2 linked regions of the Drosophila melanogaster genome follow. The protein of the gene in region 2 interacts with the protein of the main gene of each other region in a biochemical or structural test. Each region holds a gene or a part of one and is shown on either strand. Other genes may lie near its edges.

Region 1 (4,695 bases), on a different chromosome or scaffold from region 2:
TAATTTATCATTCAGTCAACGTTCTTCGATTGCAGTTTATCTTCGGAACTTACTTTACTGGGTCGCCAGTGTAATTTCCCACTCCCCCCGCATCTTTCCATTCTGTCTGTTCTCCGGTTCTCCCTTTTCCCACGAGTAAAAGCAGAGGAAAGTGTACTAGGGGAGCAGCAAGGATATTCCCTCGGAGTTGTTATTGTCCTGGCCGTAGAATGAATGGCAAATCAGGAAAATCTGACCCCCAGGTTGTTAGTTTTCTTGCAAGGATTTTTAAAGCCAATGGGAGCAAAATAGCAATTAACATGGATTTTGAAGCATCCACCTCGACCTCAGCCATCCATCCCTCGCCCTCCCTCCCCCTGCTTTTCCATTGAGTTCCTCCTGGTAATAATCGGAAATAATTGAAGAAAGAGAAAAACAGCGGGGAACGGCAAAAAGAGAATACTTACCGGACTGAAAAGCCGGGTAGCGGGGAATGGGTCACATCCTTTGAAGGATGTTTGTGTGTGCAATTTGTAGCGTTTTAATTGTTGTTTATGCGATCTAGAATGGGGGCGAAAGGAATGATGTGGTGGGGACTCCTAGGGCGCGGGGACCCAAATGCATCACCACCGCAAGCCACTGAGCTAATTTTGATTGCGGTGCCTGCAAACGACAGGAATCAGCAGGTGAAAGACGATGTCGGCTCCCGAGATCCTAATTAACTATGCCACTGATGTTTGGTTCGATTCAGCAGATTGCCCTCAAATGCGGGTTAGCAGCAAGTTGAAGTGCCTAATGCCCCGGGGGAAAACAAAGAACTCGAAGTCATGTGAATAAAGTCAGGGGATTGATGAATATGTAGAAGGATATGAAAGCTATCAAATTAAAGTAATACTTGAAATGATTAATTATTTTGATATTAGCAAAACAATAGGTTTCAATCATGACATTGATATCTGTAATCAGCATCTATTAGGAGTGTCATTACTGTGCAACTGGAATATATCTTATCTGCATCGGCATTTAACGGCTATTTCGAAATATTCAAACTTACTCGCTGCTTTTCTGGTTCTCATTCAGTGAATATATTTTACCATTCTCTCACAATGTTGTAAGCATTCAGAGAGCGAAGGAATTCCGGTTGAAACTCCGAAAATGTTGTTTATTCGGCCAGTGCGCAGACTCACCACTTTTGCCGGCAGGATTCAGCAACAAATGTTTATGCTCGCAACTGTGATGATAAACAAACCTGACTGAGACCAGAAACTACAATGTTGAGAAGCCATTTCAATATTATTTATTTGTTTTTGGAAATTTTAAAAACCCTATTGATATAAGATAAACACCAAACTACCATTAGAAGGCTGCCATTTTGTTATAAAATTTACTAGTATGATTGTACTTTACGGAAACACATAGCATTACAAACATTACAGAAAGCCTCTTATATGATGATACCTCCTTATCATACGGAATTCGATTACTTTTCGTTTTCCCGAGCTTTCCCCGCTGAAACAGCTGATTTGCCTGCAGGAATTTACTCCGAAATGTTGCTCTTCCGACTTCCCCAGTTCCCCGAGTTCCGAACTGGCCGAGCTGCTCCGAAGGCCGGAACTCACCACCCAGCGAACATTGCTGTGGACTGTTCCCGGTCTCCGGATCTGAAGGAACCCCATATCGAGTTGGCCGTGGGACGCCGTTCAGTTGAGTTTTGGTTACTGCCGCCAACGGTTATCGAGCTGAAAGTGAGCGCGTGTCGAGCTTTTTTGGTGCCCAGTTGTTTGGGCCAGCTTCGTGGGCGACTGGATTGGCAGCAAACATAAACAAACGAAGTGCGAAATTGCTCGGAAATCAGCTAATTGACACAACGGACATGCGAGGGCCAGACTTTGGCCAAATTTGGCCTGGCCAAAAAGGAAGCGGAAGTACTGCGGCCGCAAAATACATTGTAAACTGCTAAACTGCAGGGGAAGTGTAGCGAATAGTGTGCGAATGGAAGTCGAGTAAAAATCAAGCAACTCGAATAGATATATATATCTTTATATCCCTGCGGGAGTCGCTCCCCTGTGTCTGTGTGCCGGTGTGTATTTGTGTGTGTGTGTGCCAGGAGTTGGGCTGGGCAAATAAGTGCTCGTGCTCAGCTTTTTTAGCCAGTTTATCTTAAGGCGAAATACTGTAAAAAATTGTAAAATGGATTTACGTTTCGTATTCATCGTTTTCCTGCTCAAGTGGACCCATGCACAAGGTAAGCTCGAATAAAAATACACAACTGGTGCAAAAACCTATCCTGGTCATGGACTTCCTTCCTTCCGTCCATCAATCCATCCTATCCTCTCCTGCGTTTGCCTGGCATTCTCTGTTTGTGCAGCTGCCACAAGCTCTGGGTTCTGGGCTCCGAGTGGGTGGATATGGATGTGGATGAAAGGCGGAGACGGGTGCAATTCAAGTGCAATTCAGCCGGCCTGCAATTGCAAATATGCCATAGAAAATTGCTCAACAGAGACAGAAGTGCCAGCTCGTGAATGCACGACATTTGTATAGCTCTGCGATCCCGTAATGAGTTGCATTTAACTCATCCGACTCACTTGGCCGAGATGTTTTGGGAGCCGGGCATATTTATGATGATTGCCGACAGGTGTTGAATGGCTCGTCCAAAGGCTTGCCAGAATGTTGGTTGTCAGGCTTGGATTCACCTGAATGCTGGTTTATTGATACGTAGACTTGACTGGGAATCTGCATTCCGGAGACAGACTTGTCCCAGAAAGATACATAAATACTCGGCATTAGTAAATGGATAAAGTCCGTGCTGATAGCTGAAGAAGCCACCAAAGCAATTTACTAAGACTTAAAACTTTGAATCAAAATGAGCTAAGAATAGACTGAAATATAATTCGGTTATTATTGATAAATCAAATGTTGAATAACTAAGCTTGGTAACATTTCACACATAATATTCCAAGTAGTAGAGTTATTGTGGCAACACAATTTCCATTAAATCTACACTCTGAATTAATTCCCTTGCTCATCCTGCCTAATCGCTACCAAACTTTAGTTGCCAGATTAGCATATTTCCTGATTTGCATTTATTGGCCTAAACTGGCAGATAACTTAAGGCATTTCCCGAATCGTTCCATCCGCTCAAACATGCTTATGCGTAATGCATTGATTACTTCCTCCCGAAAACTTTTGCCAACTATAATTTATAACTCTTGCTTATCTCACCAATAAGTTGTAGCCATCAAATGGGAATTCGTATGAGCAAAACTTTTGTGCCAGACGCAAAACAATTTCCGCTGCTTTCAGCCCAACAAATTAGTGGAAAATGTTCTGCCAAGAAACGAGAAACAAGCCGGGGATTCCCCTCGGGCTGGCTAACTAAGCGAAATGAGTATGAATTCGAGTCGTGGCTCTGAATACAAGTGAGTACTCAGGGGCATGGCTCAAGCGGCATGTTTTTGTTGCATAAAATATGCGCATTTAACAAGGGGCTTCCCACACTTTGCCCCAAAAAGCAAACATATAAATGTGGGCCCACAAAAAAGCATTTCTGCCCGGCCACAAATGATACAAAAGATTATTCATATTTTTCGGAGGTAGCACATATACGAGTATGTATGTATGTACATATGTACATATGTGTGTGTGCGGCCATGTTGCCGCTGTTCAATTTGCGTTTTTTACGCTTGGATCTCCTTTTTTGGTTAAGGGCATTTTTATTATGTAGTTCATGCATGTAAACGAATTCAATTGAATAATATCCTGTCATTTTGTTGTTACATCCTCTTCGGGCTTTCCATTATCCCCCCCCCCCCCCGAAATTCTTTTCCCGGCTGCTCCCCTCGTTTGGCATGTCAAAATTTTTATCAGCGCACAAAATCCGCCAATGCAGGATGAAGGATATGGTGGAGTAAATAAATAAATCCCGACAACACGCGTGTCCTTGTATCGCCGTCCTGCTCGCGCAGATCCTCTCGCCCGCTCCCACGCTACTCTCGAAAGTATGCAATAAATTTCGAACAAAAAATATATTGGCATTTTAGTGGGTTGGCTGCCTTCTGCTCGTGTGCGGTGTATCCAATAAAAGAAAATTAAATACTTTCAGCGAAAGATTCTTCTTTTGGGTAAATTAATCGTACCTCTGTATTCTGTCGGAGTTTCAGATTTTTTCGCGTACCCAAATATGGATTACAATTCACTAAGTGCCTTTAATTCGAGCTTTATTTATAAATATAAATACAATATTTTCCCATATCTGTTACAGCTTTTGGCCCAATTCGAATGCCAGTTTCGCAAAACGGCTCCCAGTCGTGTGCCATAATTTTCGTTTCCCAACTTTGCCCAAGTTTGCTTAATTTATAAATTATGCATTATGTAGACTGCGTTACCAGGCAATTATCATTTTCCCGGGAAATTGCTGGGTCGCTTGTTTTGCTCCTGGTCTCTCGCCCAAGAAAGTAGGCTACGCAAAATTAATTTCTGCTGTATGTTTTTGCCTGTGTGCTTGGCTCGGCTCGGCTCGGCTCTTCATGTGCGTGTGCTTATTTATTTGGCTGGGATTCGAGAAAGGACTCGGATCGGTTGTCTTGTATTTGGCCCTCGTGCCTGGCGGCTACCGAAAGCAAAGGGCAAAAACACAGGGCCATCCGCACGGCGAAGTAGGAAAAAGTTTGGCAGACCGGAATATTAATGAGTATTTAACCTAAATTGTTGCTGCCT
Region 2 (5,213 bases):
CCCGATATCTTGGAGGTGAGTCTATAATAATATTTGCCTTATTATTTGGCACTTTCAATAATATTATTTCCTTTTCTCTTTTAGCGCATTCAACTGCTGTACCGACCGCCCGAGGAGGGAGAGGAACCGCGTCGTCCATCCGCTCGACAAACGGCGTCCCAAAGTCGTCGTAATGCTTTGGGCCAGACCACGGAGGGCGGCCAACACGATGCACAGAACGATGCTCCGCCAAAGTACACACCACCTCCGTCCTACACAACGGCCACTGGAGCCCGCCTTGCCAAGCTTCTGCGCCAGAGCATTCGCCGCAGCGTAAGAAGGTACATAAAAACCATCCCTTAATATAAACAAAAAGTTATTTACGACCAATTTATCGACACAGGGTTCTCGGAGACTCAAGTCGAACGCGACCCGTGCTCTCCCTCGATGCGGAGTCTGCTTCGCCAGCGGCGCCGCCTGATTACCTAACCATACTGACCAATCCGGCTGGCAGTAGTTTCAACGCGGATCCTTCGCCAGCTTCCAGCAGCAGTCCCGAGTCCATAGAGATCGACCAGCGACCCGTTGGCTACTCCCAACGCTCGCAATCGTTGGGCAGGAAACTGCATCGTTCGGGTGCTTCGACACTGGAGAGGCGGCCCTATACGGCGGAGGATGTGGTGACCATACTGCGCTCCTCGGTGCGACATCGCCAGTCGCAGGGAGGCGGAAATTTGGTCACTGCCAGCACCCTGCCTCGCCCCCCAACCGCCGCCATGTCCACGCACTTGGAGGACGCCTCATTCCGATCCATAGAGAATCTTGTGCTGAATGCCGAGCCACCGGACAGAACGCCCGGTGTGGAGCTGGAGCTCGAATTGGAGGCTGGACAGGCGGAGGAGTGCGCGCGAAATAATACATCTGTGATTTAACTGACTAATATCGTACCGTACATAGCGTAACTCTTATGCGATCCACATATCCGCTTGCTTTCTTAGACTTGATTAGCGCTAGTTATCTAAATACGAATATTACCTTGTAGTTATGCGAATAATAACGAAAACAACTAGTTGGTACTCCCAAGTGTGAGCTCTTTTGATCCCTACAACCGGTATTCCCAGTTCGATCCAACCCACCCCATTTAATTCCATTTCACATATATTTTAGGCTTACGGATCGCGCCTGTCTGCACAGTTGCCCTTAAAATTATCCCAACAATGGAGTAGGCCTCCTACGTGCCCAGCTCTCGAGGGTCAGCTATTTAAGGGAATACGTACTTGGGCCCTAAGCCGATTAACAAACGTGACCAGTTGAATAAAAAAAGTGAAAATAAACGGAAGTCCAGGATGGCGTAGCCAACAAAGGCGCCTAATGAGGCGGGCCAGGAAGTTGCTGCATATTTCGATTAAAATGTCACGCCATTTCTTTTGTTTTCTTTGTGACTTGCATATTCCAAAGGGATTGGCCTGCAAAAAAGTTAATCCGCGGAATTTTTAAATCAGCACGAATTGGCGGTTATTATTTTAATATCTGGCAGCGCTGGTTCAAAGAACCAGTTCAAATGGGTTGAGTCTCGGCTAGAACTTTTGTGAAGTTCACACAATAATTGATACCGTTATTTTTACTTATAATTAGTAATTTTAATGCTAGAAATACATAAATAACAATTGAGACCTATATAAAAGCAAGTGATAAGGGTTCTTATACAAGCCAATGTGTGTAGTACAACTACTCTATAATTTGGGATGATAGTTATAAAGTTTTAAATAAATATATATTTTCATGAAAATATTATCAACACTTTAATAATGAACGAGTTTTTGGACCCTTATTAACCATAATATTTGAAATTTAAGTTGGAACAAGAAACTTTTAAACTGTTGGCGAACGCGGTATTTTTTAGGCCCTTCTTGCCGGGTGAGGTTACTCCTGCATCTGGTAACACTGCTCGGCAGCGAAACAGAAACATAAAAAATTCGAACGGCGACGAGAGCGGTCAGACGCACGCATCACTTTCAATCGCGTCGCGTAGAGCGTCCAAAAAGAATTATAGTATAAACCAAGAGTGAAGATTCCGGTGAGCAAAGAATTTGCAATTGCCAAACTTAAGCAAAAACCATAAAGTGTGCATTGGCAATTGAAGTCGCGCGTTCTTAGCCAATCCACATTTGCACGGCCATTTTAAAGCCAAGTTAAGGCCAAAGTTTTCTGCCGCGCCGTCTTCGTAAGTCGCAGGTCGAAAAGTGCTCAAACGAGATTTCCACTTGAAATTCCTGAATTTCGTTTGTCTGCGCGAATCGCATCGAATCGAATTGAAGCACAAATCGCAGCAGCAGAAAAGCGCAAAAGTCGAATTTAAATTCCGTCTGCAAAGTGCCGAAAATTAGTGTCTTTGTTGTGTTAGTGTTTTGTTTCTTTGTCTGTGTGGGTGTTACGATTACGATTGGATTAGCGGTGTTTTCGCCTGATTAAAACGGTAAGTGTCCTTGCGATAATCCTGCGTGCAAAGTTAGTTAGCTGGTGCCAAGTTCGCTCGCCACTCACACACCTCCACCGCCGCCACTCACAACTTATTTTGCTGCAATTTGCTCTAGTGTTTTGTATTAGCATTTTTATGTCCCGCCTCGCCAAAGTTGACAAACAAAAACGTACACACACACACATACACGCACCGACACGTAAGCACACGCACACAAAGGATTTCATTACATTTTGGGTGGGACGTAACGGTAACGTTGAAGTGTAACGTATAACCCTCCCCTCGTTCTATCTCTTTCCCGCCCAAAGCCCCGAATGCTGTGCTACCGAATTTGTTTTCGCCTTCGCTCAGTTCTGTTTTCTCCTGTTTTTATTTATTTTGATGGCGTATTTTGCCATTCCGCTTTGTTCGTATTGCGTATCCTGTCGCCTGCGCTATCCTTCTACAGTCGCATCTGGCTAGAAGGAACTATCGTGTGCCTCAGTCACATGAAAAATATTACACTTACGTAGGTGATTTGATTTTTAAATGTATAAAGTCCCCTTCAAATTGCTAATTGAAAAATATATAAGTTCATGTACATAATCTTATTATGTCATCAATTAGAACCACAACATCTTTGGTTTCCCATTAGTATTTATAGTAACATTTTCTGAGCCCAGGGTATTCTGGTTTCACTGTACATTTTTCGCTGTCAGCTTTTCTTCCTAGTTTCTGCCAGCATTGAAATGAGTTCGCAATAAATATTGCCCAATGTCAAATAAAAGGGCGATGAGCCAGCCTTTTTCCGCCATGGCCCCTTTCCACCTCGGCCTATCTCCTCCATTCGCTCTAATCTCGGGGGACACTAATGCTTTACGACAATTCCTATGCCGTATGCCGCCCAGTACAAACTTAATGCACACATCAATGGCAAATTAGATATACTCCACAGCAAATGTACTAATAACAATCATCGAGTGCGTGTGCGGGCGGGCTTCCGATTCATCCCATACCATACCATACCATACGATACGATACCATCCCGAACCATTCCATCCCACACATACGTCCTCTCAAGACGATTGTTTTGTTGATTTGGCTGTTACTTCCAATACATTGGCATTTAAGGGGCAGAATTGGGATCCACTTATGTGCCTGCCTTATGTCTCATTTGTCGTCGGGCAAATGGAAATCGTTTTGTTTTTGCCTTGTCAAGTGACAAATTTTCATTGTCTCCCGCCACTAATCGCTTACTTAAAACAAAAAAAAAAACCAAAAAAATGAAGAAGATACCACGCCAAAGACTCCAAACAAGAAATAAGACAAGTGTAAATAAACACTTGAGGAGGAGGGAGCGTGGGATCGGGAGTCACGACTAACCGATATCCTCTGTACAGTGTGGGCGGGGGCATATACGCAATGACATTATCATAAAAGGTGCACATGCCAGAAGTTAAGTCGCGACAACTTTCCGTTATAACTTTCAATAACCTTTGTTGTTTGCTCCAATAAAAGCATTTTAATCGATACTCTTGACTTGTGTCAATCCATTCGGATTTGTTTTTGGTTACTAATGGATGTAATGTATGAAGTTATTGGGGCGGCATAAATTAAGAACTTATTTCCTTTGTGGATTTCACGTTACTAAACAGATGGTGATGTGACGCAAATGAAGTCCTAACAAAAGGATATTTATATATATGGTATTCTTTCGCCTAGCTATTTACCTGTATTTTCATATTTATAAAAATACTAAAAGGCCATTCATATTTTATATGGCGTGTGGTCTAATTACTTATTTTTATGACCTAGAGAAGCAAAGATTATAAATTAGCCGTTAAACATTCCTTTCCTCCATCGTACATACCTTTCGATACCCTGTAAATTCCAGTGTATGTACTTAGAGTACGCACACGTACTTGCCTCTTTTGGTGGCATTGCCCGCGGCACCTTCACTTGGCGCAGCTTGCCTTAATTTCCAGCGGACAAACCACTTTGTTATCGCCACGCCGAGGGCCCTTTAATCTCTGGTAGTCCCTGGTTGGCTGGTCAGACCCACCTCCATCTCCGTCGCCTGCCCATTGATTTACGTCTCTATTTTCCAAATGTAGCGCAATCGATTTAGATTGATTTTGTTTAAACAAACTGCACAGCGCAGCAGAAGCAGCAGCATAAAAGGCACCAGAAAGTGTAATAAATAATTGGAAACGGAATCGTTGGGCTGATTTTAATGCCAGCGTTAATTGCGAGAGCCACCCAATTTCATTTCCATTTCCATGCCCAATCGAAATCCAAATGCCATTCCCCAACCCTCCCCATACCTTCAACATTTTCATGCCGATGTAGCGATGCCCTAGGCCAATTCCAAATCCAAATCCAATTCCTATTCCTATTCCTATTCCATCGATGCTTTGGTAATTAGTTGTGAATTGGATTGGGGATCACATAAAAGTGTTGATTACACACTCCGATGGCTGCGCCCCCAGCCACGCCCCCTTCCCGGCTGGGTGCCAAGTGTTTTGTTTGTGTTTATCTCGTCTTCGACGTGTCTTTTTGGGTTTTTCAGAGGAATTAGGGTTAGCCGTGCGTAGTGAAAGTCGATGGGACTGCAGCAGGTGTTGGGTCCAGCAAATAAAGTTGGTCAGCAGGAAGCGTTCCAATTAATCGCATTTATCGCACGGAATTTCAACTACGCAGCCAATTAATTGGGGCAGTTTGAGATGCCAGATACTAAAGATACAGATACAGAAATTCCCACAGTTAAGCGACTGTA

What was found. Proteins that work in one complex are often made in the same cells at the same time.
Region 1: the proteins of sli (region 2) and robo3 form a complex in vitro, tested with the Drosophila melanogaster proteins (one study listed by BioGRID).

Annotation. Positions count from the first base shown.
Region 1 is NT_033779.5:1,254,722-1,259,416, forward strand, and holds the start of robo3 (roundabout 3), read left to right. Parts: upstream 1-1,695; 5' UTR 1,696-2,169; coding exon 2,170-2,224; intron 2,225-4,695.
Region 2 is NT_033778.4:15,918,881-15,924,093, reverse strand, and holds the start of sli (slit), read left to right. Parts: upstream 1-1,975; 5' UTR 1,976-2,455; intron 2,456-5,213. Other genes in the region: bdg (bedraggled), read left to right, coding at 1-15, 85-320, 383-911.